Linked DNA regions of Pelodiscus sinensis. The protein of the gene in region 2 interacts with the protein of the main gene of each other region in a pairwise test. Links are inferred from orthologs where the notes say so. Each region holds a gene or a part of one and is shown on either strand. Other genes may lie near its edges.

What was found.
Region 1: the proteins of NKG2-A/NKG2-B type II integral membrane protein-like (region 2) and PMP22 interact in binary tests that used the Homo sapiens proteins (3 or more experiments, as listed by UniProt). The two-hybrid records come from large-scale screens. The link is inferred for Pelodiscus sinensis from reciprocal best matches to the Homo sapiens genes KLRC1 and PMP22.
Region 3: the proteins of NKG2-A/NKG2-B type II integral membrane protein-like (region 2) and MAL interact in binary tests that used the Homo sapiens proteins (3 or more experiments, as listed by UniProt). The two-hybrid records come from large-scale screens. The link is inferred for Pelodiscus sinensis from reciprocal best matches to the Homo sapiens genes KLRC1 and MAL.

What each region holds. Positions count from the first base shown.
Region 1 is NC_134730.1:3,207,310-3,218,242, reverse strand, and holds the start of PMP22 (peripheral myelin protein 22), read right to left. Parts: upstream 4,126-10,933; 5' UTR 3,890-4,125; intron 2,995-3,889; exon of another isoform or gene 2,836-2,994; intron 1,273-2,835; 5' UTR 1,250-1,272; coding exon 1,172-1,249; intron 354-1,171; coding exon 254-353; intron 1-253. UniProt on the Homo sapiens protein: Might be involved in growth regulation, and in myelinization in the peripheral nervous system.
Region 2 is NC_134711.1:135,404,487-135,414,850, reverse strand, and holds the start of NKG2-A/NKG2-B type II integral membrane protein-like, read right to left. Parts: upstream 4,833-10,364; 5' UTR 4,698-4,832; intron 1-4,697. UniProt on the Homo sapiens protein: Immune inhibitory receptor involved in self-nonself discrimination.
Region 3 is NC_134713.1:198,052,468-198,062,954, forward strand, and holds the start of MAL (myelin and lymphocyte protein), read right to left. Parts: upstream 4,446-10,487; 5' UTR 4,260-4,445; coding exon 4,177-4,259; intron 2,148-4,176; coding exon 2,111-2,147; intron 1-2,110. UniProt on the Homo sapiens protein: May be involved in vesicular trafficking from the Golgi apparatus to the cell membrane. Plays a role in the maintenance of the myelin sheath, and in axon-glia and glia-glia interactions.

The DNA.
Region 1 (10,933 bases), on a different chromosome or scaffold from region 2:
CTGATTCTTCCGCTCCTCCCCAGGGCCTGTACTCCAGAAACTGTACCATCAACCTCCTGGAGCAACTATAGTAACTGAGCCCCTCACCTGAAGGACAGAACCAAACCCTTCAGTGGAGAAGGCTGGACTTGTACCAGACAGAGGCTGCAGAGATTTCTCTGCAATACGTGGCCGTCGCTAAAGGTTTGGGGGAGGCGTTAACGGGGCGAACTCCCCCTTTCTGAGGAACCAGACGAGACGTCAGGGCACTCACCGTTCGTGGAGGATGGTATACACTGAAAGGAACTCGAGACACCTAGAGTGCTGCAGTTCTGCCAGAGGTCTGCCGTACGCCCGTTAGCGATGAACCATTGCTGAAAAAGACACACAAACTGGTAAGAGGCGCCGGCAAGTCACAGCAGCGAAGGCCAGGGGGAGGCCGGGCGCCGTCCCCAAAGCAAAACACAAACTTGTGCTCCACCACATGCGCTGGTGAGGAATCCTACAGAGCTGCGCATGTTCATTCTTGTTGTGAACTCTTTTGACTTTGTGTGTGTTCATTCTTTTGAATTCTTACGGTTCCGGCGGTTATTTGTGTCTCGGGTATCTCTCTCAGAGCATGCACAAGCATGAACATTTACACACACACCTTTATTTGAACTGAGATTCGAAGGGAAATGTTTCACATTGTACTCAACTGCATAAAGAGGAGACTTTGGTTATTCTCTTTAAATGGGCCAAAGCTCCAAAAAAAGTCACTTGTCTCCAGCGGTGTGGAAAGCTACACTAATGGCTTCATAGGCATCACAACCAGATCTGGGATCCTGTGATTATTTTAATGTGGTTTTTTTTTAACCCTTGGAAAACTAGTCTGGAATTGACTAGCTCAGCAGATCTCCTGCACTGTAAAATATTAAAATAGGGGTCAGCCTAGGTTGGTCACATTCATTCTTTGAGGGGGCCTTGTATTAAGGTCTGGCCCTGGAGGAGTGCAAAGCAGAGCAGTGATTTGGTGCACAAAGTGTGCGGAGACCCCGAATGCAGAGAGAACGACTGCTCTAGAGACCACCAGGCTGAACCCTTCACTTGAAAGGTGATAAACGTCCTTTTGGCCACCCCATGTGTCCTGGAGACACCCGTGGGACGAGCGACAGGAGGGAGAAGAGCGAGAGGGGATCAAGTTTGTACTTACGCTCACGATGGTCGAGACAAACAGCAGCACCAAAACCGCCACATGGAGCACAATGATCCCCAGCAACAAGAGCAGCATTTTGGCTGAAGTCTTGGAACGATCTGAAGCGAGGGGGAGAGGAGACAGCTTTGAAGCAGCAGCAAAACCCAGGGCAGTCCCGCCTCTGCATTTGTGTCTGCAGGGTGTGTCCGGCTTTCGGGGGAGTTAGCTCTGAAAGGGCAGCAGGGGGCGCTGAACCAACCAGGAATAACCAAGGGGGCTCTAGTGATAGAAATGCAGCCCTGTTAGGCTGGTGTAGCTGAAACAAAACACAGGACTAACAAGATGGTTTATTAGGTGATGAGCCGGCCAACGAAAGCTCATCATCTAATACACCATCTTGTTAGTCTTTAAAGTGCTACATCGTCCTGTGTTTTGTTTCAAAGGGGCTCTAGTGAAGGAAACGTCCCAATTTGTATTAAAACAGCCCTGCAGCACCTTAGAGACTGACAAACCATGCTGATGGCATCATGCGTTTTCCTGGGCACACCCCACTTTAATGCCCACGAAAGCTCAGGATGCCATGGACACGTTTTGTTAATCGCCAAGGTCCTGCAGGACTATTTGTTGTTTTTTTAAAGGTTTGTTTCAGACTCACAGGTCCCCCTCCCGCGAAAAATGTGGAGGAAGGGCATTTCTTCGCCGCTGCAACATCTCTTTTGGCAAACTCATGCAGCTATTGGGAGGGGCGGGGGTCCTGCAGGAATCCAGCGAGGGGCTCGAGAGACAAATGCCTGAAAAAGGCACCGCCAGCTTTTGGGGGGGAGGGGGTAAACATTAGCTGGCTTGGAAAAGGGCAGTCCATCTAGCTGGGCGTGGGGGTCCTGTGCGGCGCCCAGAGAGGGGCTGGGAATACGATCTGAGGATCAAGGAATCTTCCGCTTCTGCGCTAGCCGCCGCCCTGCTAACCTTCCGCGCTGGCCGTGTCATGATCCGGAGTCAGATGGAAAAAGGGCAACTTCTGTTAAATGCCTCAACATTTCCACTTGGCCCTTCCCAGACAGGCTGAGCCAGGGATCCAAGGGCGGGGCTGGCTCTTGGGAAGCGGCGTCAAAGCCGCCCGAAAGCCCGGCTCTCCGGGCAAACAAAGGCAAAGCTCAACATCCAACAGCCCCCACCGGAGGGGGCGGGCGCCGGGAACCGTTATCCGCTCGGCCGCCCGCACTGGGGCTCGGCCCCGCAGCTGCACGGTCGGCTCCTCGCCATTAGCCGGGCAGGGAGAAGCGAAGCGGAGTCCGCGCAGCCCGTGGAAACCGGCCAGGGCGCGCTTCAGGAGCCGGAGCGGAGCGCGGCGGGGAGGGCCCAAGCTAAGGTTCCTGGCGGGTTCACACTGTGTCTAATTATACCGCGGTGAGGTCAGGGCCGCGGAATCCGTATAGGGGAGCGACCCGGCTGTAAAGAACCGGGGGGGGGGGGGGGCAGCAAGCGGGCCCCGCTGCGGCAGAGGGACCCGCGACCAAGCCCGGCGGGGGGGAGTTGTAGCTAGACGCCACCGGGCAAGCAGCCCCTGGCAGGTGGGGACCAAGACCCGGCTCCACGTCTGGGATCGCCTCCTCTGGCCCCCGCTCCCTTCTCGTCCTCCGCGGGCAAACAGCCCGCTGCAGGGCGGCGCGGCGGCTACTTACTTCGCTCCCGCAGTCACCCCCCCGCGAGCAAAGCGGCTAATCCGGAGCGGGCGCCGGTCCCCGTGTCCCAGACGCACAGAGCCAGGGGCTGGAGAGAGGGAGGCGCCGGCCAGCGCCAAGTTATAAAGTTTCCCCTTTAACGCGGGACAACGCCCCAGATTGCGTCTGGCCGCAGGGTGTGTCCCGGGCCTGGCGGGGGGGGGGTGGCGGCTATAAATACCCCACCCCCCGCTCACTGGTTCGTTGGATCCCACCGCGCCCGGCACCCCCGGTCTCAGCCCACGTGGGAAGAGGCGACTGGAGCCCAGTACTACGGGGAAGCGGCGCGTCCCTGCCTGGGGGCGCTGGCAGGGTGGGGTCGGGGATCCCCGGTCGAGGAGCAGAGACCCCCCCCCCCGGATCCGCTCCGCGTTTTGCTGCCCAGCCCCTGCTATTTGTGCCTGGGGAGAGGAGCGGCGGCTGCAGCCCTGGGGGAGGGGCGGGGACTGGAGCCCGGGGGGGGGGGGGGAGCTGCAGGGGTACCCGTGTCACCGGCCTGAAACCCCGTGGGGGGGGGCTGCTTCCACCTTCCTCCAGCAGAGTCATCCCTTCCCCCGGTAGCCTGGGTGGCCACCCCCCGGGCCGTGCGCTCTGGAGCCCCGCAGGGCGCAGCGCGGCCCCGGGGCTGAGCGGGGGGGGGGGGGAAGGTGAGGGGCAGCACACCCGGGATTTCTGGCGTCGCCCCTCTCGGCTGCCCCCTTGCTCTTCCTAACCCTCCGGGAAACGGACCCACTCGCCCTCCTCCGCCTCCTCAGTGCGCCCCGGCGCATCACAAGCTACTGCGGGAGACGCACCAGCCCCGTGGAAACGCACCAAACTTCGCTTTAGCTGCCGCGGGCTCCCCCTGCGCCCCGCGCAGCTGCCGAGCGAGCCTGGCTTTCGGAGCGCCCGCTCGAGTTCGCCGCGGGCTTCTCTCCGTGTAAACGCGTCTCCCGGCGGCGCGGCGCGCTGGAGAGGAGTCCGCGCCCGGCAGGAGAAAGCGCCCGGCTCTCGGCTTGCCCGGCCAAACACTTACCGCACTCCAAAGCGGGCAGCCCTTCCTGGCACCGGCAGCTCCTAGGAAACCAGCGCAACGTGCATTAAAGTCCCTCCAGGGGCGGGATGCCAGGCAGCGAGGACGCTAAAGGCCACCCGTGGCGCGGGGCGAGCTACAGGGGGATCCTGGCGGATCGGAGCCCTTCTCTGAAACCAGCGATCTGGTGCATTCACTGTTTATTCATCCCCCAGCCCAACGCCCAGATCTGTCACGGTGGCCTGAGAGCGCACAGCCTCTAGCATTTAAAGAGACAGCTCCGCGCTCTGTCTCCTCCCCGGAGCGCAGCTCGCGCGCCCGAGCTATTTAGGGGGGTCCGAAGAGTAACTGGAAGGAGGGGCAGAGACCTCGGCATGCAAGGCCCGGGAAGCTAGAACAATAACCAGCGCTCCCCTTCTGGGAGCTGTCAGTCAAGCCACCGGGCTGCACGTTGCCAGGCCTGAGGGGTTTGGTTTGCTTAAGAAGGGGCCAGTACCCCGGTCTCCCCGCTGCCGGAAGCTGATGCTGCTTTGCTGTTGTGTGTGTTTTTTAGACAGTTGCTTATTTTCACTCCTAAAATAAAATAAAATAAAATAAAATAATGTGGTTTAAAAGTGGCCCGGTGCTGGTTCTGCAGCAAGTGTGCACACACAAGGTGTGGGGAAGTCACCTGGGCCTGTCCTCCACTTACAACCAGGGTCCGCACCCTGCCTCTTTTACAGCCACCCTCCTCCATGGACCCAGCCAAGCCCCCAGTCACCCCGTTCCTTTCTGCAGGGCTACCTGAGGCATGAGGAGGGTCGTGAAGTGACTAAGCGGTCCAGAGGCAGGCCCAAGAGACTGATTTCCATCTCAGCCACACTGCTGTAAAGTAGGCTCAGTCCACGGAAGTCTGTGGAGTTTGTGCAGAATTTCATGGGGGTAACAGAGAACACAAGGTGCCCCCTAGCAAACATAATATTCCTTCCCTGTTGTCTGTCTAGCCATCCATCCCCATGCACACCCACCCACCCATCCATCCATTCATCCTTATACACTCTATCTATCCATCTATCTATCCGTCTATCTATCCCTGCACGATCTATCTATCTATCTATCTATCTATCTATCTATCTATCTATCTATCTATCTATCTATCCCTATACACCACTCTATCTATCTATCTATCTATCTATCTATCTATCTATCTATCTATCCCTATACACCACTCTATCTATCTATCTATCTATCTATCTATCTATCTATCTATCTATCTATCTATCTATCTATCTATCTATCCCTGATGTACTTTTAACAAGAGGGAACAATTTTCTCTCCACCCACTCCCTTCCATTCAAGTGCTTCATCAAACCAAATTTCAGGCCTCTGCAGTCTAACAGGGCTCATTCCTGGTAGGCAAAGGCAGCCCATCTATTTCAAAAGCTGGGCAGTCTCTTGGCTACACAACACACCTCCTTCCTTCAAGTCAGAATCATGTAGAGTAACCGATGTACAGAAAGAAGCAGAAAGCACAGAAATTCCTGTTATCCAGGTGGGTGTTCGAGGGGGCAGCTTTCAAGGATGCCTGGGTCGCTGATGTTCTGCGTACTCTGCTGTCGAAAAGCTGTGGCCAGCTTGGGTTATCTGATTGTGTCTCAAGAGACTCGGGCCACAGGGCTAACAGTGGCAGTGTGGACGATCAGGCTCCACACTCCGTGAGAAGAGCCCTAATGAGTACACAGCAATTGTTAGGCCCACAACCCAAGTCAAGGAGGGATCTGAGAGTAAAATCCGCTGGTGAGCAAAGGCGTTTGGATTCTTAGGACCAAAGCAGCCCGTGAAGGACTTCAAAAGGATCTCACAAAACTGGGTGATTGGGCAACAAAATGGCAAATGAGTTTTAATGTTGATAAATGCAAAGTAATGCACTTTAGAAAAAATCATCCCAACTCTACATATACAATGATGGGGACTAAATTAGCTGTTACCATTCAAGAGAGAGATCTTGGAGTCATGGTGGCTAGTTCTCTGAAAACATCCATGCAGTGTGCAGCGGCAGTGAAAAAAGCAAGCAGAATGTTAGGACTCATTAAAAAAGGGATAGAGAATAAGACAGAAATATCTTGTTATCTTTGTATAAATCCATGGTACTCCCACATATTGAATACTGTGTTCAGATGTGATCACTTCATCTCAAAAAAGGTATATTGGCATTGGAAAATGTTCAGAGAAGGGCAACAAAAATGATTAGGGGTTTGGAACGGGTGCCATATGAAGAGAGATTAAAAAACCTGGGACTTTTCAGTTTAGAAAAGAGGAGACTAAGGAGGGATATGATAGAGATTTATTAAAATCATGACAGGTGTGGAGAAAGTGTATAAGGAAAAGTTATGGGAACAAGGCAATAACATAAGAGCTAGGGGTCACCAAATGAAATGTATAGGTAGCAGGTTTGAAATAAACAAGAGGAAGTTTTTCTTCATGCAGCACACAGTCAACCTGTGGAACTCCTTGCCAGAGGATGTTGTGAAGACCAGGACTTTAACAGGGTTCAAAAAAGAACCAGATAAATTCTTGGTGTCCCTTTCCCCTCTTTGTCAGAGGCTGGAAATGGGTGACAGGGGAGGGATCACATGATGATTCCTTGCTCTGTTCACTCCCTCTGGAGTATATGGCATTGGCCACTGTCAGAAGACAGGACACTGGGCTAGATGGATTTTTGGTCTGACCCAGTACGACCGTTCTTATGTTCTTACTACAGCCTCCTACTGGGAGCCTCCTCTTGAGTAGAGGCAGGATGATGAGCGAGTTTTAAAGCCAAAAGCACCCATCCATAAATATGATTATCTTAGTCCCATCCATGGTCAGGCCCACCATGTGAGGCCCAGCACCAACAGAACCAAAAGGTAGCCTCTGCCCCAAATAGTTTACTATCTCGTCTAACCTCTGAGGTTGGTCTAGTGGGTGGAGTAGGAGAGATCTGAATGCAGCTCCTGTCTCACCTCGGCCTCAGTTCTTTGGCTGTAAAATCGAGATGCCTCTGTATCTTGCCCTGTATCTTGCCCGGGTTCCGTAAGGATAAAATGCAGCTAAAATCAGAAAGGGCTCAATTCATTCCATGGTACAGGCCATAAAAGCCCCCAGATGAGTTGATTGTGTGAGCAGAACTCTCCCCTGTGGAAACGGGAGAGAAGAAACCCTTTTGTTCCCATGCGTCCGAGAATGGGGCCAAATCTAGCGTTGTCAGCCAGGGAGAAATATTCAAACGGAAGAGAAGAGCAGCCGCAGGGTGAGGAAGCTTTCACTGGGCGTGAGCCAGGGAGAAGGAAATGGAGACGATATGCACAGCAAAGGGCCCGTTCCACAAACATTCTTCCGGCAGACGTTTGTCTCTTTTTAGAACTGCACTTTAGCCAAACAGACCAGGGCTTTGGGAGTATTTACTGAGCATGTGACTTCCCTTTTAGCTCTGGGGACGTGATACCAAGCTGCTTCCAAATATTTCAATCATGTGAACATGCTTCTAGGAGGGCTATTCTTTATGCCTTCTGCAAACAGAACGTGCGTGATAAATGCCTGTCAGGAAACCCGGGAACCTAGGCAGCAAGGGGAATGCTTCTAAAATGGGCACAAATGGTGGCTCTATAGATACCAGTCTAGACAGCTGGCATGAGGCTTGGCACCCAAGAGATGTCAATCACCTCCCTAGGGCCCCCCCCATGGATAGGGGTGACAGTACAGCCCGCTGCCTACATTTCCCCTCCACACAGGTGTCTCTGGGTACAAACAGCCCTCCTTCAGGTCTGGGTAAATGGTCAGAACAAAACTCAACGTCCCTAACATCCCTTAGCCAGCTGCTTCCTGCCCTACCTGTTTTCTCTGGTGCCTCAAAATCCCTGCAGCCTTCAGTTCCCAGCAACACGCAGAGACCTTCCAGCTCCCTGCAAATTCCCTGTCCAGGAGGGCCTGTTTAATAACCTGGGTAGGCTGTCCCCGGGTTGCAGCCCTTCAAGGAGCAGGACGCCCTGTTGCAATATGGAACGGCAACTCCTTGCAGTCTCGTTTTGCTTCTGCAGTACATCATGCACGCAGGACACGCTCATGACGTCCTCCCGACCCTTTCCACGACAGCTGCATGGGGTCATGGCTGCAGGCCGGTCTGTTCGAATGGGACCAAGGTAACGTGCCGGGGAGAGGACAGACTGCAGGCTGTGCGTGTGGATCCGTGGTGCACACACGTGTGTGTGTTTGTGACCACGAGGCAGCATCGGGGCGATGTGTATGCGACCTCGCTTTCCAATGCAATCAGACCTCCCACACCATCCCTTTATCAATCTAACGTGTGTACAGGGCAGACTATTCCCCGGGTGCCCCCAACACCGGCCATGAATTTGACCATCCTGTTTACAAGCTAGTCACACCTGCTTGAGAAGACGGGACTTTCACTGTACGTCTCTGCACAGATGCGCCTCTTCCCCCCCAGGCCCGGCCCTGTCAGCAGGATCTCTGGGAGCCGTTCCAATTCAGATCCTGCTGCTTAAAGCCCCCAAACAGCAGGAGGTTTGGAATGTGTCTGTGGAGGGAAAGGGGCAGCAATCGAAGCTGAGATCAGCAAGCGTGGGATTCGTGCGGCTTGGGGCAATGGGGTACAGACGCAGAGAGAGACAGAGGTAGGGCGTAGGGCCAACCTTTCTCTCTTCTCCATTAACGACAGGTATATATGTATCACTGTTTACAGGGCGTCCCCACTATAAGTCACCCCGGTATACATCCATTCCACACTAAAGTCGTTGACGTTTGTAGGAACTGACACATTATAAGTCCTCCTGTTCCCCACTATAAGTTGTGCAAAACGCTCCCCCCAATTTGCTTACATGGAAGTCAGCCGCGGGAAAATACTTCCCCGTTTTAAGTTGTTTTGCTATAGGTCCAAGGTTTTTGGAACATATCTTGGACTTATAGCGAGGTCAGCCTGTATTTGTGTGACGGCACGTTGGGGATCCCCCGTCTCCTGCACCCCGAAATGGCACAAACAGACCGCACCAGCCGGTGGAATAGAGGAAGTTTATTGCCTCTCCAGGATACAGCACAGCACAGATGGAATCTGGTCACAGAGCTGGGCTAGGATGCCTCAGGCCCCCTTGAGATGGGGGAGACTGGACCCCTAAACTCCAGCCCCTTTCCCTAGGCTGTCTCCTCCATGCTCTCAGACAGCAACTAACTAACTCTCTTCCAGCCCTGCCCCCCAGCCAGGGCAGCATCCACCTTCCTTTGTTCCTCTCCATGGGGGGTGTCTGGCCACTGGTTTGCATAGTGACTCATCCTGTTTTGCTGGGTCGTGGTACCCACGGCAGCCAGTGGGGGTTACCCCAGAGCCAGCAGCATAGAAACCAGCCAGGTACCCCCACTACGTCACAATTTGTATAGGATACCTATAGGTGGATCACCAGCACATTCATAATTCCATGCACAGAACAAACCATAGAGGTATATTTGAAAATGACAAGTGGTCCCGTGGCACCTTAGAGATGCACAAATAGCGACAGTAGCAAGAGCTGGTGTAAGTGAACGTGACTGATTTGACTGATTAGTACGTGGGTTCTCAGCCTTGGGTCATGATGCCAGCTGAGGTTGAGAACAGATGTCAGAAGCCTCCCTTCTCCCCATCCCTACATAGGAGCAAGGCCCTAACTCAAGCTGGCCCTGGGGGCCAGATCCGGCCCACCTAACACTTTGATCTGGCCCACAGACGGCATCTGGCCGCTTTCTGTTGCTATCCTGCTGCCCGTGCCATTGAATTTCCAGGCAGTGGCTCAGGCAGCAGGATCCTATTTAAATGGCTCCCGGCTCCTGGTCACAGCGCTCTGCAAGCCCTTTGAATAGCTGCAGCAACCCCCGGTAGCTGCCAGGCAAAGCAGTAGTGGCAGGGCCAGGAGCCGTGGGCCCTTTGTTGTGTTTTAATTCAAAGTCTCTGGCCCCGCACAACTCTGGGGGGAGGCTAGTCCCCAGCCCCGCCCCTTCCGTCTCAGGCTCCGCCCCTTCTGGGGGTGGAGCCAGCCTATGACTATGTACCAAAATTCATTAAGTACTTCCCGGTGAAAATTACTGCCCTAGATGGAAGGGGCTGGGAGGGGAATCCTGGGGGCAGGGTGGGCATGTAGAAAGCTGGGAGCCCCGGCCTTGGGAGAGCTACTGATCCTTTCAGTAAGGGGTCTCTAAAGTAAAGTGGAGGCTGCAGGGTGGTACACAGGCGACAGGTGCAACGCGGTGCGGGGAAATGCTGATTCCACTGACGTCACTGGCAAAATCGCCCTGCAGTTCGGTGGGGACAGGACTTCGCCCCCGGCTCCATGCAGAGAAGCATGGTAGTGGCAGCGTGCGTCTGCACGTGCACCCAGCAGTCCTGGGGCAGCATTGCTTGGCGAGGCACAGAAGCAGGGGGTTTAGCGCAGCACTAGTTTTACTTGGGCTGGTTCCTGCCTGCTGCAATAGATCGACAGCAGCATGAAACTCACTGGCCACTGGCTGGTCCGAGTCCTCCAGGGTGCTCTATCCACAGGGGAAGGGATGTGATTCCGTGAAGGCTCTTCGCTATAGAGCAGGACTCTTTAAGCTATAGAGACGTAAATGGTTTGTTTCCTCTTATTGACCAAGCTAGGAGTCAGCATGCAAGGGAGCCCCCTGAGCCAGGGCCCTAGGCTGCACCCACTAAAGCCCCGTGTTCCAGGCCAGCCCTTCCTGGGTGTGTGGGGGGGAAGCAGCTTCTCACACTGCTACTCCTCCGCCTCCTGCCCCGGACTGGTGCCGCATTGCCACGAATGACAGGGGAAACTCAGTCCCCCACACTGCGCTCACCTGCAGGCGGCTGTCCCTGCAGCTCCCATTGGCTAGGAATCGTGGCCAATAGGAGCTGCAGGAGGCAGTCCCAGCAGGCAAGCACCTGTGCCCCCCACCAAACAGGAGCTGCCCCAGGTAAGTGCCCTCTGTCCCAGCCCTGAGCCCCTCCCACACTCTAACTCCCACATAGACCCCCGCACTGCCACCCCAACTCCTGCCTTGACCCCAACC
Region 2 (10,364 bases):
CCATCCCCTTATCATAGAATCATAGAACTGGAAGAGACCCCAGAAGGTCGTCAAGTCCAGCCCCCCGCTCTAGGCAGGACCAATCCCATCTAAATCAACCCGGCCAGGGCTTTGTCAAGCCGAGACTTAAATACCTCTAGGGATGGAGACTCCACTACTTCCCTAGGTAACCCATTCCAATGCTTCACTACCCTTCTAGTAAAATAGTTTTTCCTAATATCCAACCTGGACCTCTCCCACCACAACTTGAGACCATTGCTCCTTGTTCTGCCATCTGTCACTACTGAGAACAGCCTCTCTCCATCCTCTTTGGAACCTCCCTTCAGGAAGTTGAAGGCTGCTATCAAATCCCCCCTCACTCTTCGCTTCTGCAGACTAAACAGACCCAAGTCCCTCAGCCTCTCCTCGTAGGTCATATGCTCCAGCCCCCTAATCATTTTGGTTGCCCTCCGCTGGACCCTCTCCAATGCTTCCGCATCCTTTTTGTAGTGGGGGGCCCAGAACTGGACACAATTCTCCAGATGTGGCCTCACCAAAACCGAATAAAGGGGAATAATGACATCTCTGGATCTGCTGACAATGCACCTCTTAATGCAACCTAATATGCCATTAGCCTTCTTGGCTACAAGGGCACACTGTTGACTCATATCCAGCTTCTCATCCACTGTAACCCCCAGGTCCTTTTCTGCAGAACTACTACTTAACTGGTTGATCCCCAGTAGGCATCAGTGCTCCAAGAATGGCCATTTGAGATGTGCACCTCCTCCACCTGCTCTTCCCCTTGATTGCACAATGCTCCTTGAGTCCAGACAGGCAGAGCCCTGGGACTGCATTCTGCTCCGTGACAGCTCTGGGTACATCTGGCATAATGCATCCTTTGGGAGTCTGTGACAAGGACACAGCAGTAGTCTGGAATGGGGAAAGGATCCCTGCCTCTCACATGCCAGGGAGTTCAGGAAGCAGCGTGCAGATAGTCAGGAAGGAAAGGTTTCCTCTTTCCCCCTGGCTGGTCAAAGCAGGGAAGCCCCCAGGACTTGTGACTAGTATTTTCAGGTGAGATTTTTTTCTTAGCGTTGTTTGTTCCCATAGTGATATAGAACAAAGCAGGGTATGAAAAGCAACTTGGGTCTGGAGATTGCTTCCCTTCCCTAGCTGGTGAAACAGGGCCCTCTCCCCACCTCATGCATGGTGGATACAGCAGCCCTGCACTGTACTCAGCCTGGAGCTTACTCTCTTAAGCATCTTGTAGGGTTCTCTGCATGGCTTTATCCAGGCTCATTTCTAATCTTGCATGTCAAGGGATTTCCACCATCTACCTTGGGAAATTCTTTTGTCTGAACTCTTGCTTTACATCTATTTCTTCAATTTCACACCACCCTGAACAGTCCATTTGGCTTCTAGGTGCAGACACATTGTCAGTATTTCTAGGCAGTAATTGTGTATCGCCTTTTAGTCATGGCTTGAACAAAGTTCATTGCACACACAGTTTTTCAGTCTTTCTTTAGAAGCTAGTCCCTCCAGGCCCTTTAGTAAAATGCATCTTCTGAATGCCTTCCATCTGCCCACTACTTTCTGTTTTATTTTTTAAACACTTAGGCTGTGTCTAGACTGGCATGATTTTGCGCAAATACTTTTAATGGAAAAGATGTGCTTTTGTGCAAAAGCATCCGTGCCGGTGTAGACGCTCTCTTGCACAAGAAAGCTCCAATGGCCATTTTAACCATCAGGCTTTCTTGCGCCAGAAATTAACGTGGCTTTCTACACTGGCCTCTTGCACAAGTATATTGCGCAAGGGGGCTTATCCTTGAGCAGAAGCATCGGAATATTTGTGCAAGAACCACTAATTTTGTACATTACAAAGGCAGTGTTCTTGCGCAAATACTCGTGGCCAGTGTAGACAGGCAGTCACTTTTGCGCAAAATCATGCCAATCTAGATGCAGCCTTATTTATCTAAATCTATGGGACAGGGTCCATGGCAAAAATGTTCATACATGAGGGATAAAAATTAGGCTTCCTATTCTGTGTGGAGGTGCCTATTTACGTATCCTAGTTTTGAGAAGTGCTGAGCTCCCGATAGCAGCCATAGACTTGGAGGGAACCAACAGGTGCTCAGTATGTTTAAGCATGAATTTACTTTTTAGAGGCCTACTATGAATTTAGGAGGCTACCTTTAGTACCCTTTTTTTGAACATCTTGACCCATGTCCCTGTGTTCTGTTCAGCCAGCTACACAGTAGGCATTCAACAAATCTGTACTGCTATAAAAGGAGAGGCATCCGTCATGACCTCTGTCACAGAGAACAGACTTCCCACGAGACTCCCCTGCCTCTGACATGTCACAAGATGCCATGCATTGGGAGGGGGAGGAGGAAGGTGCAGCTCAGGCACTTTGTGCGCCTTTAACTTTCCCACCGAGTTGCCAGAGACCAACCAGCCACTGCCGAGTAATGGCGCACACCCCTCCCGGGCAGTGCAACCTGCGCGCCACTCCTGTGTCACTGCCCAGTCCCTCTTGCCCACCTTGAGTGCGCCGGGACTTGGGCGAGGTTGCTCTGCTGTATGGTCAGCAGGCGTGGGGGGACTCACACTGAAGTGGGGTCTGAGAGGTCCCGTCACCCAAGCAACTGCCAGAATCCAGCCCCCTCCTGGTGTGAGCCTAGGCACTCCACTCCCCCCAGCAGCCCATTAAATACCTGAGTCAACCCCTCAGTACTGCGCCATGCCCCATGCTTGCAAACCTGGCCCCGAAATGCCTCCCCTTGCTGTGACCCTGAAATCCTCCCTCCTCCCCCTCAGACTGGTTCAGCTAAGTTAGCAGCCCATGGGCTGAGCGTGGAATGGAGGCCGCGCCTTGCCAGGAGTGCTGTGAGCCAGCAGGCTGGTCAGGATACAGCCCGCTGGCACCTGGATAACCAACTCCAGCTGCACCCGGTGCTCTCCAGTGGGTGTGAGTGCACGGTGTGCATGGGCAGTGCGAGGTGGGGGCAGAGCAGCGAGGACACGGCCATGGCAGCAATGGGTCCTTTATGGGCAAAATGGCAGCTAGGTCTGCTTTTGCCCCCCTGCGCCAGGCCAACCTGAGTGTACGTCTACTGTCACAACGGGATGGGTAATGCTAGTAAATAATAAAAGCTTCAAATAATGACTCAGAATGGCAGTGCACTAAATTGAAAATGCACTAAGAATACCACACTCATCGGGGCCATAGAGACACAGACCTATAATCAGAGCACCTTCCAATGCTTAAACTGTTAGCTAGTTTTTTGCAAAATGTCTGATCTGCTATCCACTCTAACTCCTAGGTTACTTTCATCATTACTGGTTTCATTTCTCCCTATCACTGGATAGCCATGTATTGGATTACTACATCTGCTGTAACAGTTTTAACATTATTTTGTGCTCACTTTGCTAAACTTTCCAAGTAGGTCTGTGTTATCTGTCTGATCTTGTGTTTGCAACACCCCTCCATTTAAAATCATTAATTTTGATTACATTAGAAGGCTATATAATTCAGTTTCCAATATAGTTCTGAAGATGATAAATAATAAAGATCTTACCATTAATCTCAGTCCATTTTTACTTAGCATTGTCTTTGGTTCACAATATTTCAAACAATGTTTTATTCATTTATAATGTTCACATTCAAGATTATCTGAATTAATTTGCCAAGTAAGATTTCTTGGGAAACACTATCAAATTCCTTACAAAAAATCAAGATATATCTCTGGTTTTCCTCAGCTTATACTGTTTTTCTAGGTTGTCCTACTGGAAGATTTCTCTGGTGTTGATTGGGTCCTTCAGGGCAGGGAGCTGGGTGTGTGTATAGGGGGTGTAGGAGTCAGGTTTGGGATTTGAGGAGGAGCTCAGGGCATGAGTTTGGAGGATGTGTGGGTGCTGCAGTCACCATTGGGGAATGAGGAAGGGCTCAAGGCAGGGGACTGAGGAGCCAGTTCAGGAGCCAGTGAGGGCCATGTTGTCTGGGTGGCAGCTCCATGGGGCTGGCTGCAGTGAGGGCCACACTGGCTGGGGGTTGAGTGGGAAGCTTATCTCCACCCCTGACCTCTGCTGTCCTGATGAAGTTATAGCTGTCCCCATCTCCATCTCTGGCCCCTTGCTGCCTTCTTGTGATCATTACAGAGTATAAGTGTTCCTGCTAGCAATCCCCTCCCTTTTTATGGTATGAAAAACAATTGCATTCCAGGCACACCCCAATGTCCTGGCACAACCAAACTGACCTTGTTTTAAGTTAGGGTAAGAGGAAGCTGCCTACCAAAGTTGGTGGTCCTAGCTCTTAATTGTTTAGAAGGAGTTCTTGAACACACAGCCAAACAGACAGACTTGCTTGCTTGCTCACAGGCAAACTCCCTCAAGGATATAGTAGATACACTGCACCAGAGATGCATAAAATACAGAAATTTAGAATTTAAATGCTGATTTGCCTGCAATAATAAATCCTTTCACAGTCACTTAATACCAATACCAGTAAGGAAATGGTTCTCTATTCCATACTGTCACTCTTAAATTTAAGTGAGAAGAAAAATATTGTAAACAGACAATATTTGCAAACACATGTCTGTTTCAGACTAATTCCATTCATTCCTTGAAGTATACCAAAGTAATAAACTATACCTCTTTCAACAACTACATGCTCTAACAATGAAGATCCCCATCACCCCAACAAAATGTTCTTCTCATACCTTTGGAGCTCTCTTTGATAGGAAACTGGAGTGCAGGAACTAGACTTAGGTGCGCCACAAATATTTCTGAGAGAGACAATCTGGTTTCACCCCGTCACTGCTTTCAAAGAGATGGACAACAGGAACCAGGAGGAGAAGAATTGTACGCTCTGCAATGCTCCATCTGAAAGTTGCACAGGAAGTTTCCACTCTGCTAGTTTGAAATGTGATGCCCCCTCACTAAGCGCTCACAGGAACTTCTCTCTTTGTAGGTTTACCTATTAAATTAATCTTCTTCAGGACACTTAAATATTAAATGTAGTGTTGTCTAAGCAATCAATGATTAGCTAGTATCTCTGCATTTCTTAAAACGTGGGGCAAGAATCTTTTTTTTAATTACTCTGGTGTAAACCCACATTTAGGTGAATATATTCACTTCGTATTTATACTTCCATAAATGAGATCAGAGTGTAGCCTGAAATCCCTGCTCATGTTTCCTACTTGCATTATCAGGGACGCAAGTGTAGCCTAGTGGAGACCTGGATTTATCTTCAGAACCCTGCATGGATACAAAATTGGTATCCTCACCCACATCTGAATCTGCAAAAGTGATCTGTGAATATAAAGTAGATATCTGCAAACTTGCAGGGTTTCAGATACAAAATTGTATCCACATCAATATCTGCAGAAATGATACCAATGGATATAAAGCAGATATCCACAGGTTTGCAGGGCTCCACCTATCGTGGACCTGTGGACTATGGCCAAGCCACTTGGATTATCTGCAAGAGGATGAAATTGAAATAAGAAAAACTCTATCTCTAGTCTTTGCCTGAACCATAACTAGGGGTCTATCACATTTGAAGCTGTGAAAATGGCATCATGGATAGTGAAATCTGGTCTCCAGCTACTCAGTTCTGAAGTCAGTTCTGTACCACCCTTATTTCTCTGCAGCTTCAGAGCTGGGTGCCTGGGCATCAGCTGCTGCCTCCTGCCCCCAGCTGCTGTCAGCATTGCCGCCAGCAAGAGCACAGAAGCAATACCATGACCTCCACATGGCAATAACACACACCAATACCAGGACCCCCATATAGACTTGTGCCTTTGGAGCCCAGCTATTAGTTTGAGGAATCACATATTTTTTGTGCTTTGATGATGTCATAAATAGCAAATTTTTCAGGTATGTTACTCATATGCAAAATTTGCTGTTTGTGCGGTGACCAAGACCTGAAAAGTGTTTCTCTGCAATTAAGTAGACCACTAACCCTAACCAAGCATTTCTCCATTACATCTTTTCTGGATCCTGTGTCTGAAACCAGGGGGCTTAAACCCTGGTTTACAGGACTCGGTGGTACTAGGCACCCATGATTTACCATACAGCATCCAGTCACCAGTTTCCCGAATAGCAGCTGAACTTTGACAGAAGTCGCATGTCCTGGGATCTGATTGGTGGAATGCTGGGAGCCCTGTTTGGTCTGTAATCTCTATTTAACCCAAACAACTGGGTTCTTCCTTCTCAGGACTTTTCCTTTTGTACCTACCTAATACTGATCTAAAGTCTGGGGGGGGGGGGGGGGAGCCATGATAGTCTGTAACTGAAAAAACTTTAAAAACAACAAATAGTCCTGCAGCACCTTAGAGACTAACAAGACTTGTAGCTTGATGATGAGCTTTCATGGGCTCAGTCCACTTCTTCAGATGAATGGAGCAAGAAGTCCAGTTTCCAAATAAATAATGGAGTAAGAAAGGGAATTGAGGGGGAAGAGAAGGAAAAAGAAGGCAAAAAAGGGGGGAAATTGTGAATTAGAGAGTCCATGCTAAATGAAGCTGATAGAGAGGGTACTAAATACATTTAAGGTCTTGGCCTTGGCTTTGGTCTTGGTCTTGGCTTTTTATGTCATTAGAATGTGGAATGTAGCATGTCATCCAAGCAAGGTCTTTGTTGAGACCTCTGTTGCAGGGATCAGACTTGTACATTAAATTCAGTTCTGCAGCCTCCCTTTCAAGCTGCTTTAGTAACTTCGTGGGCTGTGCCCACGAAAGCTCATGATCCCATCTACATGTTTTGTTAGTTTATAAAGTGCTACCAGACCATTTGCTTGCTGTTTTTTTCTGTAACAGACTAACTCGGCTACTCCCGGAATCTTCACCCTGTCTGACTCTCAGTTTTACTTTCTGGCTTGCATCAGACTCTGACTTCCTGGAATGATCTGGTCTGACTCCTGACGTCTGCTCTGACTACTAGATTAGACTGTACAGGCCCCACTCATGACAGCCTGTTCCCAGTTTGTCTAACTGACTTTTCCATTACTTCCTCAAAAACTTTTCCCCTTTTCCAGAAAAAAGGGCTTCAGACATTACCAGCCTTATTTATTCATATGCTGGAACATTTGTAACAAAGCTACTGCAATGATTGGGTGAGTGCTGGACTTTTGGTCTATGAAGCAGTCTGGAGAGGAGAATGCAAATGAGTCTGTAGCGGCACAATACTGGATGCTCTTTGGGTTTGTCTACGCTATACTATGCAGTTGATCTTCCAGGGATTGAATTAATGGGTCTAGTGAAGATGTGCTAATTGGAACTGAGAGGGCTCCCCCATTGGCACCAGCAGTCCTACTCCTATGAGGAGCAAAGGAAGTCAAAGGGAGCGTGTGCTCCCATCCACCTCCCGCTGTGTGGATGGCGCCAAAATATGATGTAAAATACTTCCACTCCAGCGACGTAATTAATGTAGCTGGAGTAGCGAATCTTAAGTCGACTTTCCCCTTCCGTATGGACTAGACCTTTGTGTTATCCCCCATTGTAGTAACCAGGACTGGACAGAGGCATGGGCGAGCCGGGCAGCTGCCCAGGGCGCCAACCAATGGGGGGCACCTGATGGCAGCTATAAGGGGCGCACAGCATCCCTTACAGCTGCCATCAGGTGCCACGCGCCTGGCTCCTGTAGTGCCGGCCCCGTGGCACTGGCCAGCAACTCACTTCCCCCCATGGCCACGGGGCCCTGCACGGCCTGGCCATGGCTGACCCACGCATGCGCTGTGCGCACGGGCCCGCACACCCTGAGGGGGTGGGCCTGCACCCCACAGGCAGGCCCACACATGTGCCGTGTGCCCAGGGCACCAAAAGGGCTTGGGCCAGCCCTGGTGGTAGCTATGTCTGTCTGGATACCATCTGACAGCTATTATATTTTGGGGAAAAGAAAATCTTAATCAAAAGAAAAATGAATATCTGAGACTAAAACAGTCGAGCGGCGTTGGATGGGAGAGGACTTAGGGTGCTGTGGGCATGTATACTTTCTGTCTGGCAAGATGGGATTGAAAGTAGGTCTGAGAGGGCAGTCAGTGGGTGGTCCTTCCAGGGGAGAGGTTGGGACAGAGCTCTTTGTTACATCACTTCCCTTCAAGTCTTTTCAAGAACAGTGAACTTCACCCTAGTTGCAGACACACAAGCTCACCCACATGGGTTGTGCCATGTTTCAAAGCACTCTCCTGCACAGCTTATATCACTGCTCTTGCCAAAGAAGTTTTCGTGGGCCAAAAAATTGTCAATTGTCCACGATTTGACCTCAGGAAGTGGGTCTGGCCATGAAAGCTCATCACCTAATAAACCATCTTGTTAGTCTTTAAAGTGCTATATAGTCCTGTCTTACGTTTCAGCTACACCAGACTAACACGGCTACATTTCTATCACTTGCCAAAGAACTGGAGCTGTCATTGCTCCTCCACAGCTAAAACCAATCTCCCACTCTCAGCCTGATTTGGATCATGCCACAAGTACAAACCAATCTACCTGACCATGGACACAGCAAGCTGTGAAGGGCATTTCTCCCTGCAGGCATCACCCAGTAATCAGGCAGGGCAGGGCAGGGCAGGGCAGGGCAGGGCAGAGTCTCTTCTTTCCTGGCACTCCTGTTGGTAGCCACTTTGGTTTTGCTGTTCTCCAACCCATGTGTGGCTTGGCCCTCCTGCTAGGTCATGTGACCTAGTCCACTCCTTTCAGGCTACACAAAAGAAATTCCAATAATGGGGAAGTTGTCCAAGGCCTGCATGGGACATGAGGCTTTCTCCATAAGTCAAGTAATGAAAGAGAAGGAGGATTTAATAGTGGCTGCATTTCCCTTGTGGGCCAGTGGGGTCTCCTGGGGGCAACAGTGCACTGTGCTGAAAGGAGAGGTCATGCTACACTGCCCACTTGACTGAGACAGCCATGCTCCCATGGAGTTCTCTTCTCCTTCCATGGTGAGAGAGGACACATGAGACCCAGGAAAGGGCTGAGACAACTTGGTGCATGAACTGTGAGTTGCTGGAGATACCAGTTTTCCCTCCAATCCAAGCAGTGTAGAAGGATGGGCTGCCTTCTAAGTTTCCCCTAGAGGCCAAGGGTGGTGCTGTGGCCTCAGTTTCCCTTACTGGCTCCTCAATCACAGAAAGCCTTTCTCCAATCCAATAACAGCCCTTCCTGGTGTCTAGGTTTATCAACATAACTATCCAAACCATTACATTGCTTTCAGGGCTGATAAGAGAAAAACATACCCTGAATGTGGTGGTCTGGTCTGGGCTCTTGCCATTTAGGAGTTTTCAAAGCTTAAGTGTTGATTTAGTTGCACCAGAACAGAGCTGGGCTGGGAATGTGCACTGCCTGCAGCACTTTGCCAGAAAATGTCCTTGGCTCATGCTGATAAAGTCCTAAGTGCCCAGTGAGCACACTAAGCAGTGTCAGAAAAACACTTCTCCCTGTAATTGTAGTGCATAATAAGGCACATTGTAGGATGAAGCAAGACACATCTGTAGGTATTAATTTTTTATTTCAGACCCACTGGAAGGATTAATTTATAACAAACCAAGACCAAGATAGAGTAGATGTGCAGCCTCTTATACTGGGTTCCTTTGAGCATGAGATCCTCTAGTGAAAGGTGTCCAGGTACAGTGTGCTCTGTCCTGAAATCTGCAGAAGGATCATGTCTACTATAGATCTGTGCTGCCCAGGAAATGGTAAGTACCTGGGCCTGGTGATCTGTGACTGCAGTAGAACCACTGGCAGATGTAAGGGCTCTGAGCCATGTGTTTTAATAGAGAAATAGGATTCATCTACATCTGGCACAGGAGTGGTTAGCCCCTTTCACTTCAAATATTTCTTTTAATAGCCTGCCTCTTTAAAGAGACCCAGGGTATGTCTACACGAGACCCCTAGTTCGAACTAGGGTGGTTAATGTAGGCATTCGAACTTGCAAATGAAGCCTGGGATTTAAATATCCCGGGCTTCATTTGCATGTTCCCAGGCAGGCGTCATTTTAAAATCTCCTTAGTTCAAACTGACTGCCTGCAGCTACACGTGGCAGTCAGAAGTTAATCCAAACTAAGTCCTTAGTTTGGATTAACTGTTACTCCTCCTGCAATGAAGTGGCTAGTGTAGACATACCCTTACAGACTGCTTGGCCTGACTTCTGACCAAGTCATAGGGTATGTCACGAAGCATGTCTATACTACAGCCATTAGTTCGAATTAACTTTAATAGTGGCTATACATGCAAACCGCTATTTCAAAATTTAATTCAAACTAGTGGAGTGCTTAATTCGAACTAGGTAAACCTCATTCTATGAGGACTAACACCTAGTTCGAATTAAGTAGTTTGAATTAAGGTCTGTGTAGCCCATTCTGGGCCAAACCAGGGAGACTCTTCTGCCCTCTC
Region 3 (10,487 bases), on a different chromosome or scaffold from region 2:
TCCGGTGGGGTGAGCGCTCGTCCGGACCAGCAGGGCTACAGCGGCACGTCACTGCAACCCAACTGCCCGTAGCCTGAGCCCAAGTCATGGGCATGGGCATGTGCCAGCCGCGGGTGTCTAACTGCAGTGCACACGCATCCAGCATGGCCCACGCACAGCTCTGGAGCGCCTGCCACACACGTTGCCTCCCCATCGCCGCCATTCGCAGCTGGCTGCGCTGAATCCCACGAGCCCCCGGGCGAGGCCATGCTCTGGGCCTGGAGCAAAGGGCGGCGCAGCCTGGCGGGCGCCCCTCCAACTGTCTGTCAAGTCTGGGGCAGAACGGGCCCGGGGCCCTGCTCTTCCCCCAAAGCCGCTGGGACGATTGTCAACCCTCCCGGCAGCTGTTCTGGCAGCGCCCAGCCCATTCGCAGCCGCTGGCCATGGGCCCGGGGCTCGCCGGGTAATTCGGCTCCTCCCAGGCAGGCACAATTCTGGGCCACAAATCAAGCCGCACTCACCTCCCGCCTGCTGCTAAGCGCCTGGCTCGCCTCCCCCCCCCACACCCGCTCTGAGCCTGACTGAACTAGGCCAACGCGGGGTCTGGCCGGTGCGGCAGAGGGCGGTGCCGGGAGAGCCGGCTGCGGGAAGGGCGGTGGCCGCGGGGTCTGGCCGGTGCGGCAGAGGGCGGTGCCGGGAGAGCCGGCTGCGGGAAGGGCGGTGGCCGCGGGGTCTGGGCGGTGCGGCAGCGGGCGGTGCCGGGAGAGCCGGCTGCGGGAAGGGCGGTGGCCGCGGGGTCTGGCCGGTGCGGCAGAGGGCGGCGCCGGGAGAGCCGGCTGCGGGAAGGGCGGTGGCCGCGGGGTCTGGCCGGTGCTGCAGAGGGCGGTGCCGGGAGAGCCGGCTGCGGGAAGGGCGGTGGCCGCGGGGTCTGGCCGGTGTGGCAGCGGGCGGTGCCGGGAGAGCCGGCTGCGGGAAGGGCGGTGGCCGCGGGGTCTGGCCGGTGCGGCAGAGGGCGGTGCCGGGAGAGCCGGCTGCGGGAAGGGCGGTGGCCGCGGGGTCTGGCCGGTGCGGCAGAGGGCGGTGCTGGGGCGGGCCGGGGTCGACGCTGGCAGAGACTGAGCCCGAGCCCAGCGTGATGCCCTGCAGCCGGGAGGGCGTTGCTGATGTTTTCTGCCCACACAGGGCAGCCTGCTGCTGCATGCAGCTTCACCACGCTGGCCACACCGCCCATCGGGCACACGCATCAGAACTGAGCCAGGCACCTAGGAGGGGAAGCAGCCGAGCGTCCCAGCAGGGCTCCCCTTGGGGCCGCACAGGAGCCCAGGCTGTGGCTAGTTAAACAGAACGGCCAGCGCCAGGCTCGGGGCCGGGAGATGAAATTGACAGTCGGGACTCAGCAAACCCTGAGGAATCTGGCCCTTGAGTTTGCACGGGCTGATGAAGACGCTTTCAAACCAGGCAGGCATGTAACTCGGGCTCCCTCTCGGCGCGCTCGGGTGGTTCCCTGGCAGCCTGGGGGCGTTTCTGTAGCTGCACCACAGGAAACCTGTTTCTTTAGGGCCCCAGCAAAAGAACAACGCCAGCGACTCCGGGGTCACGCAGGAAGCGGCCGCTCAGGGCAGCCAGCACCAAGGTGAAATAAAACTGCTCAGCTAGCTCCAGAAAGCGCCAGGAAGCTCCGCTTGGCAGGGCACTGAGGCTGCCAGGACGGACCCTCTTGTGGGGCTGCTCAAGGGGGTTTCTTGCGCAAGGAGCAGTGTAGGCAGCTCCTTCTTGGGCCAACGTCTGTGCCGCAAAAATGGCAGCTCATTAGGTATGCAAATGAGGCACAGCGATATTCATCCCCGCACCTCATTTGCATATGTTATTGCCCAACAATGCGCAGTGTAGACGTATCCTCACTGTTGGAGGAGGAGGGGAAGTGGGAGGAAGCGTGCTCTGTGTCGCAAGAAGGGCTGAGTGGACGCTCCCAATTTTGAAATAAGCTCCGCAATTGACGTGGCTCGTTGCTTATTTCGAGTAAAGTCCTTTGGGAGATTTACCGTAGACATGGGAGCCTGCCGAATCGTGGTCAATGGTTATAAAGCTTTAACGGTTATTATGTCGACATCTCCCGGCGTTAAATAATTACCTGGCGCCCATTCCCATTGTCTGGCCCCCACCGCTTCCTACAATCGTGAAGATTTAAATTATTAAAAGAGGGAACAAATGCCTCAGCAGTAAATAGCTGTGGGAATGATACAAAATCCAAAGCCTCAAACCGTCATTAAATCCCCGGTCACCACGATCCATGCGCGTTCCCCCTGCAAGACCCGATGGCATGAGCATGTTATCAGGCCTCGGGCCCTTTTGCCACAATAAGAGTTGCATAAATGCACCGAATGTCAATGTTTTCCCTGATAAATGTGGCTGCTTTATCAGCCCGGGGAGGCAGTTTCAGCTTCACACTGGGCTGGGTAACGCTTTATCGGTTAATCAGCTGTTGTTGCCGGTATGTGACTCCCCCTAAGCACACAGCGGGGAGCGATAAAACGGCCACAGGCGTTTTCCAGACAATTGGTATCTACAATTATCGGGCCGTTGGCCTGAGAATGCCTTGCAGCCAAGCAGGCCTAGGAGCAGGACGCGCTGGCCACCCACAAGCCTGCCCTGCCTCGTCGAGCACAACGAAGCTCTGGGGGCCCTGCAAACCGGGAGTGTGGCTAACCCTCCCCTTCCTGCTGCTCCCCGCGTGCTGCATGTTTGTGCGCCGGGGCCGCCCGTGTGCTGCTGAGTCCCAGCGACAGGGAAGCGAGCGCGGGGCAGGGCCGAGGCGGAACCGCCGGGAGCGAGTTCGGGCTGGTTCCAGGACAGGATTAGGCTGCTCAGTGCACAGCGGGGCAATCGCGAGCGGTGATCACAGGAGACCGGCCGCCCCGGGGGAACCTGCGAGGCCGCCCGCCCCGAGTGCTGCCCTTGAGCAGGGCGGAGGCCGGGGTGCGTCAAAAGGAGCCGCGCCCGGGTCGGCCTCCCAGCAGGGGCGGCTCGTGGAGGCGGAAGGCAGGGGAGGGCTTGGGTCCCAGCTGCGAGGGAATCCGTTCCCCAGGCAGGGACCCGCCGCAGCCGGGCGTTAACTCCCCGGCTCAGGAGCGCAGGGCTGGAGCTGCCCAGCGACTCTTCCAAGCTCCGTTCAGTAGCGATGCCCCTGGGGCAGGGACAGCCCTGGGCAAGCAGCGGCCTTCCCCACCCTGCCTGGGAGGAGCCGCCTTTCCCTCTGGCTCGGGGAATGGCTGGGGGAAGGGAGGCCCGGGGCCTGGCACTATTATGGGGCCTGGATTCCGGCCCAGGGCAGGGCCTGACCAGCGAGGGGCACCGGGGCCGGGGGGTTCCACCCTCCCTAGAGCCCCCTCAGCGGGCGGGGCAATGAGCCACACCCTGGCTTCGCGGACGCCCGGGAGACTCGGTCGGGCGCCCGTGGGGACAAGGGCCCGTGCAGAGCGGACACGAGGGGGAGGGCTCTGACCCACCCTCCCAGAGCGCTGGGGGGCTATGGGGACAGCATGGGGCAGGAGCCCCCGCTCCCAGACTAGAGCAGCCGGCTCCCAGCAGGGCCCTGGCCTCGGGGCGGATGCTCTGGGGCATTTCTGCTGGCGCCAGGAGGGGGCGTGAGGCGAGGAGCTGGGAGACCAGCACAGCTGGGAAAAGACGCCAGAGAAACCTGGGGCTTGTGGGCAGGCGCAGGCGCCGGGGTGAAGGGAGCGTGGGCCAGACGGCCGAGCTGGGGCCCAGGCATACGGGGGGCTCGGCGCTTGGCCCGCCTCTTGGATCCCTGCCTGCCCTCTTCCAGGGGTGGGCTGGCCTGGCGGGATACCGGCAATTTCCTGCTGGGCCGTCGTGTCCACCCGCCGGTGCCCAACCCGCCGCCTGCGCCGCGTGCCGGACCTGACACAGGGGTGGGGCTTGAGGGGCGCGCAGGGGTGACGTCATGGGGAGGGCCGTTCTCAGCCATTTCCCGGGCCTGTTTTGATTGCCAGTGCGCTCCTGCCTGCTTCTGCTCCTGCTCAGTGTAATCTCAGAGATCCCACCGGGAGCCCATGTTCCCCCCAGCCCGGGCCCGACAGTGTTTACCCCCCTCTGCTCCAGTTCCTGCTGAGGATTTGTTACAGGCTGGTTCATTCTCCACCCTCATCCCAAGCGCCCCAGCTGCGCGCTCCTCACCGCACGGCCGGCCGTGAACAGGCTCCACTAGCGCTGGGGGGCGCGAGAGCCAAGAGGCGCCCTGCAAACGCTCCCTGGAACATTCCCCTTCGCGGTAGCGTTTCCGAACGTGACACACCCGACCGGGTCCAGCTCGAACACTTGCTCACGCTCACCGAGCGGATCCCTTTCCAGCCGAAGCTTTCACCACACGGCACACAGAATCCTAGAGCCCAGGGCGGGCAGAGCCCTTAGGAGTCAGCCAGTCCAGCCCCCGCCCAAAGCAGGACCAACCCGACTCAGTCAGCCCAGCCAGGGACCTGTCAAGCCAAATCAAACACCTCTAGGGACAGAGATTCCACCCCCTCCCCAGGAACCCAGCCCAGCGCTTCCCCACCCTCCTAGGGAAATAACTTTTCCTAATAGCCAACCTAGACCTCCCCCACTGCAACTTGAGCCCATTGCTCCTTGTTCTGCCACCACTGAGAACAGCCTCTCGCCAGCCTCTTTGGAACTTCCCTTCAGGGAGTTGCAGGCTGCTCTCAAATCCCCCCTCACTCTTCTCGTCTGCAGACTAAACAGACCCAAATCCCTCAGTCCCTCCTCATAGGTCATGTGCTCCAGCCCCGAATCATTGTGGTCGCCTCTGCTGGACCCTCTCCAATGCGTCCACATCCTTTCTATGGTGGGGGGCCCAGAACTGGACACAATACTCCAGATGCGGCCTCACCAGAGCCGAATAAAGGGGAATAATGACATCTCTGGATCTGCTGGCAATGCCCCTCCTAATGCCCCCTAATATGCCATTAGCCTTCTTGGCTACAAGGGCCCCCTGTTGACTCATCTCCAGCTTCTCATCCACTGTAACCCCCAGGGCCTTTTCTGCAGAACTGCTGCTTAGCCAGTCGGTCCCCAGCCTGTACCAATGCTTGGGATTCTTCTGTCCCAAGGGCAGGACTCTGCACTTGTCCTTATTGAACCTCATCAGATTCCTTTTGCCCAATCCTCTAAACTGTCCAGGTCCCTCTGGCCAGAGCCTTTCAGCACAGACGTGACCCCTGTTCTCGCCTTGCGATGGTTTGGGGATCAGCCCGTCAGACGCTGCACACACGGCCCTTCCCCGCCATTTTCCTCTTCCTCTCCCCAGGCCCAGGCCCCAGGGTGGGGAAGCAAACCTGAGTGACCCTGACCTACAGCAGCTACGGCTCGGGCCCCGTGTCCTGCTGAGCAGCACCCCCCAGACACCGGCTGCCTGGCCACGCCCTGGCTCGGGGCGGGCCCCTCTTGCCCTCGGGCCCCCCCCCCCCGTTCTCACACGTGCTGGAGCGAGGACTGGAGCCGGTCAGAGCTGTTTGCACGGAGCCACGTGGCAGCTGGCCGGGTACCAAATGGAGTCCCAGTCTGCGAGGCCACGGGCTGCCTGGTCTCCCCCATGGCGGCTGCCCGAGGGAAGGCTGCACGGCCTGAAAGGGGCCTGCACGCTGCAGCGAAGGACACCTGGACTGTCCACCCCCCTCAGAGATTTTTGGCGGGTTCCTGTCACGGCAGAGGGAGAACCCAGCCCCTGTGCGTCCTCTGCAGCCGCCTGCCCCCCCCCAACCCATTCGCTGTCTCGCGGCTCCCCCGGGGCGCTGGGCGGGACTTGCCTCTGCCTGTGGGGCAGCTGCCGAGGGGCGGGGACGCGGTTCCCGGGGGTTGGATGCCGAGGAGCGGGGACCCGGTTCCCGGGGGTCAGATGCCGAGGGGCGGGGACCCGGTTCCCGGGGGGTGGATGCCGAGGGGCGGGGACCCGGTTCCCGGGGGTCGGCTGCCGAGGGGCGGGGACGCGGTTCCCGGGGGTCAGATGCCGAGGGGCGGGGACCCGGTTCCTGGGGCGGCTGCCGAGGAGCGGGGACCCGGTTCCCGGGGGTCAGATGCCGAGGGGCGGGGACCCGGTTCCCGGGGGTCGGATGCCGAGGGGCGGGGACGCGGTTCCCCGGGGGTCGGATGCCGAGGGGCGGGGACCCGGTTCCCGGGGGTCGGATGCCGAGGGGCGGGGACCCGGTTCCTGGGGCGGCTGCCGAGGGGCGGGGACCTGGTTCCCGGGGGTCGGATGCCGAGGAGTGGGGACCCGGTTCCCAGGGGTCGGATGCTGAGGGGCAGGGACGCGGTTCCCGGGGGTCGGATGCCGAGGAGTGGGGACCCGGTTCCTGGGGCGGCTGCCGAGGGGCGGGGACGCGGTTCTCGGGGCGGCTGCCGAGGGGCGGGGACGCGGTTCCCGGGGCGGCTGCTGAGGGGTGGGAGGTTGTGCTAAGCCACTGGGGACGCAAAGGGGTCTATTTGGGCCTTGCAGAAGCTGCTGGATGGGGGGGCTGTAGAAAGGGCCCCCCAACCCTGCCACAGGTCTGAGCAACACGAGGGCTGCTTGCTCTTGTGCTATTGGACCCAGGCCTGCGAGGTGCTGAGCCCTCCCACTCCTGAGGGGTGAAGGAGCTGGAAGGACTCGCCGGAGGCCCCAGCCTTTCCCAGGCCCTGAGACCCTGGAACCAGACATACTGGAGCCTTGTGACCGTCTGGGCCAGGGACGGGCAGTCGGCAACGTGGGCCAGGGCGCCGCGGCCTCCCCAGCCCGCCCGACCGCCCAGGCAGGGGCTGCTGCCAGCGGGGTCGGGGGCCGTGGTGGCTGCCCGGCTCAGCGCCCCAGCTCGCCCCACGGCCAGGAAGGATCGGGCTGGGGGGTGGGCAGGGTTTGGCTCCGGGTGGGGCCTTGGGCAGAGAGGGTGGGGGTGGGGCTGGCGCTTGCCTTCCCCAGCTGAGCGTTCTCCCGCCGCCCATGGAGCCAGGGGTGTGAAAAAACACCTCCCCGGCCCTGCAGTTCATGGCGCTGTGGGAACCAGGCTCCAGCACTGGGAGCCGCTCTCATCGGGGTGGTCTCCACGGAGCGCTGGGAGCTCTCTCTCCCGCCGTCCCTGCCATGCCTCTCACTTGACAGCGCCGCCCCGGCAGCATTGCTGCAGCTGCGCGTCAAGCTGCCAGGGTGCGGCTGGACTGCGAGGGTCTAGCGGGAAAAGATGCGCACGTTGCCCTCTGCATTTTCGTGCCTTTTTCCGATACTTTTGTCGGAAGAGGCTTTTCTGAAATTTGGCCCGTCTAGACAGGGCAATATTTCAGGACCCCCCCCCCCCTTTCGAAAGCCCCCTTCTTCCTCGTGGAACGGGGCGTACAGGGGCTTCCGAAAGAGCCAGTCTGCTCTACGGCTAAAAAACAGCGGAAGAGCAAACGCGCCCCTGGACGTGGCGGAGTTTTGTTGGGACCCCCAGTCTAGCCATGCCCAAAGTGCAGACCAAGCCTAACTCCTGGGCAGGATCAGCCCTGCATGACCTACTGATGCTGAGCTGTCGTTGGTCAGAAAGCACCATTTACAGGCTGACCAGTGGTGCACAGCCAGTTGTACTTGTCCAGTGACATTTCTCAGACAAGGGCTTTATCAGCCCCGGCTTCCTGCTGTTTGCAAACTGCACAGAGCAGGGGGCAGCGGCGAGTCGGGAGACAAAGGAGCCTCTGCCCTGTGAACAAAAGACAGGACTACGCAGCACTTTGAAGACTAACAAGATTACTATTAGGTGATGAGCTTTCGTGGGCCAGACCCACTTCCTCAGATCAATATGTGGAAGAGAATTGTCTTTTGTTTCAGCTGGACCAGACTAACACGGCTGCATTTATATCACTACTCTGCCCTGGGAGACCGTGAATAAATCCCTAAGCTGTTCAGGTGAAACGCTGGCCCTGGGCCAGCAGCCTTTCACCCTGTGAACTCTGGTTTGCCTGTCACACCAAGAGGGGGGTCAGAATTTTCTTTTTCTCCCTTGTGGAAAGTGTTAGCGTTTCTCTGTAAAACTGAAAAGTTTTGGTCCCAAAACAAGTCATTTTACAATTTTTATCTGAATTATTGATTTGGGGGGTTGTCTGTGTTTTAATACAAAACCCTAAATGTTTAAAGGAAAACAAATACTCCTCACAAGTTTTCATTTAGTCCAAGTTCCACTTTCCTGTTAAAAAACAGGTTAGATGGAAAATTTTCAGGCAGCCTCACTTACATCTTTAATTAATTGTTGTTAAATGCCTGGAGACTTCTTACCGTTTTCTCCCACTGTAATATTCCGGTTATATAATCAGCCTAATTCTTTCTCCTTGTGCCTGTTCATTCGGTACCATCTGTAACCCCACGGTCTCAAATGACTCTTCAGACATCAGAGACTGCTGGACAGCTGCCACCGTCCAAGAGGAGCAGGGTCGCCAGCCCACTCTCACACATTGAAGATGACTCTTCCATTGAAGAGCATGTCCGTCGATGGACCTGGGGTACGCTGTGTGAGCTGGAGTCATACCAGCCCTTTATTGGACAGGCTAAGCTTTTACAGCCGTCCACGTTCTGTACAGCCAAGCTCCACTCATTGAAACAGGCCCCTGCCGTTTGCAGCCGAGTTAGATTTGTGGCCAGCAGCTCAGCCTCTGCCTGGCCCCCTAGGAAAACTTGTCCTAGGGAGAGACGTCTCAGCAGGAAATCGCCCTCACAGCCAACAGGCTCAGTTTACCTGTTTTACCAACTTCTCTCTGCCACCCCAGCACTTGGCTTCCCCCTGAGACTACTCCGAGATCCACAAACCCAGGTCTCTGGGCACCACCCTAACGGTCATGCTGCTTCTACAATTCAAGGAAATAAAAAAGCCCAAACTTACGAATTCTGGGATAAAGAGGAAATCAGGAAACGTGGCCAGGACAGAGAAGCCACTAGGCAAGGACACTGAAGCGGCTGCGGATGACATCTTGGTCTTTCAGCTGACCCACCGCAGCTGGGAGCAGACGTGGCTTTCAGATGCAGCCTCCACCTCTGAGACAGGTGAATTCGTAACTGATCGACCTGCCTAGAGGGAAGGAGCTAACATAGGTGTGGCCAGCTCATTTGACAGACTTGCCCGTTGTGTTTGCAAGCCTGGGGAGGGGGCGGGAGAGGAATGTTAGATTTTAACTTTCCTGTAGCTTTGGATCTAGCCTTAGATCTCCTGGGCCAGGCAGGGTTAGTGGTGGAGACCTGCTGGCCCAGAGGGGGCTGGAATGAAATGTTCCAGGGATAACTCAAGGGACGGGGCCCAGGTACTCTGCTGGGGGAGAGCAGTGTCACCCACCCTATTGACATCAGTGGAACTGAGCTGATTTACACCCCCCGCGGGCCTGGCCCTGGCTTGTGACCTGAGCCCTGCCGCTGCTCCACAACTGCATCCACAGCTGCTCCGTGAGAATTGGGAGATTTCCAGGGGCCCCCTTAGCACCCAGCACCTCCTGCAGCTGCCAAAGCCTCGGGCGCTCCCCCAGCCAGCCGCCGTGGCTTGGTAGCACTGGGAACACGGCGGGGACAAGCCTGCCCTGGAAAGGAGGAACCCGCGTCCCCTGAGCGAGGGGGCCCGTGGCCAGAGCGCTGAGCGCGACCCGCCAACGCGACAGGTCGCCACGGGCAGCGGTGGCCCGGGCGCATTTAAATCAAGAGCTGGCAGGTAAGAGCAGCCTCCCAGCTCCCCTGGGGCAGGGCAGGGACTCCCGGGGGGGGGGGCTGTAGGTCAGCCCCGTGATCTGCTGACGCCTGCTGCCCTTACGCGCTGGGACTCTCCGTTCCAGCGACCCGGGCACCCTCGACCCCGTTCTCCAGCGCGAGGGGCTGCCGGGGGTGCCGGGGGCTGCCGGGGGCAGAGGCGCAGGGGGCAGGGCGCTCAGGTGCCTGACGTGAGCGGCCAGGAAGGGTCATGGGCCCCGGAGCTGCCTCAGGACAGTGACTCAGCCAAGCTCTGAAGGGTGGGTGGGGCAGGACTCCTCCCCCCCCCCCCCCCCCCCCGGGAATGCAGCCCACATGCCTCTGTGAGGCAGGGTCCCTGCAGGCCCTTTGAATGGGCACCTTGAAGCAGGAGCGGGCAGGGGCCACTGAATGGAGCCCTTACCACGGGGGTGGGGAACCTTTACTGGGCCAGAGCCTGGCGGGGGGGGGGGGCAGGACACTCCCCACACACCAGAGCCTGACGGGGGGGGGGGGGGGCAGGACACTCCCTACACACCAGAGCCTGGCGGGGGGGGCCCAGGACACTCCCCACACACCAGAGCCTGATGGGGGGGGGCCCAGGACACTCCCCACACACCAGAGCCTGGCGGGGGGGGGGGCCAGGACACTCCCCACACACCAGAGCCTGGCGGGGGGGGGGCCAGGACACTCCCCACACACCAGAGCCTGACGGGGGGGGGGCAGGACACTCCCCACACACCAGAGCCTGGCGGGGGGGGCCCAGGACACTCCCCACACACCAGAG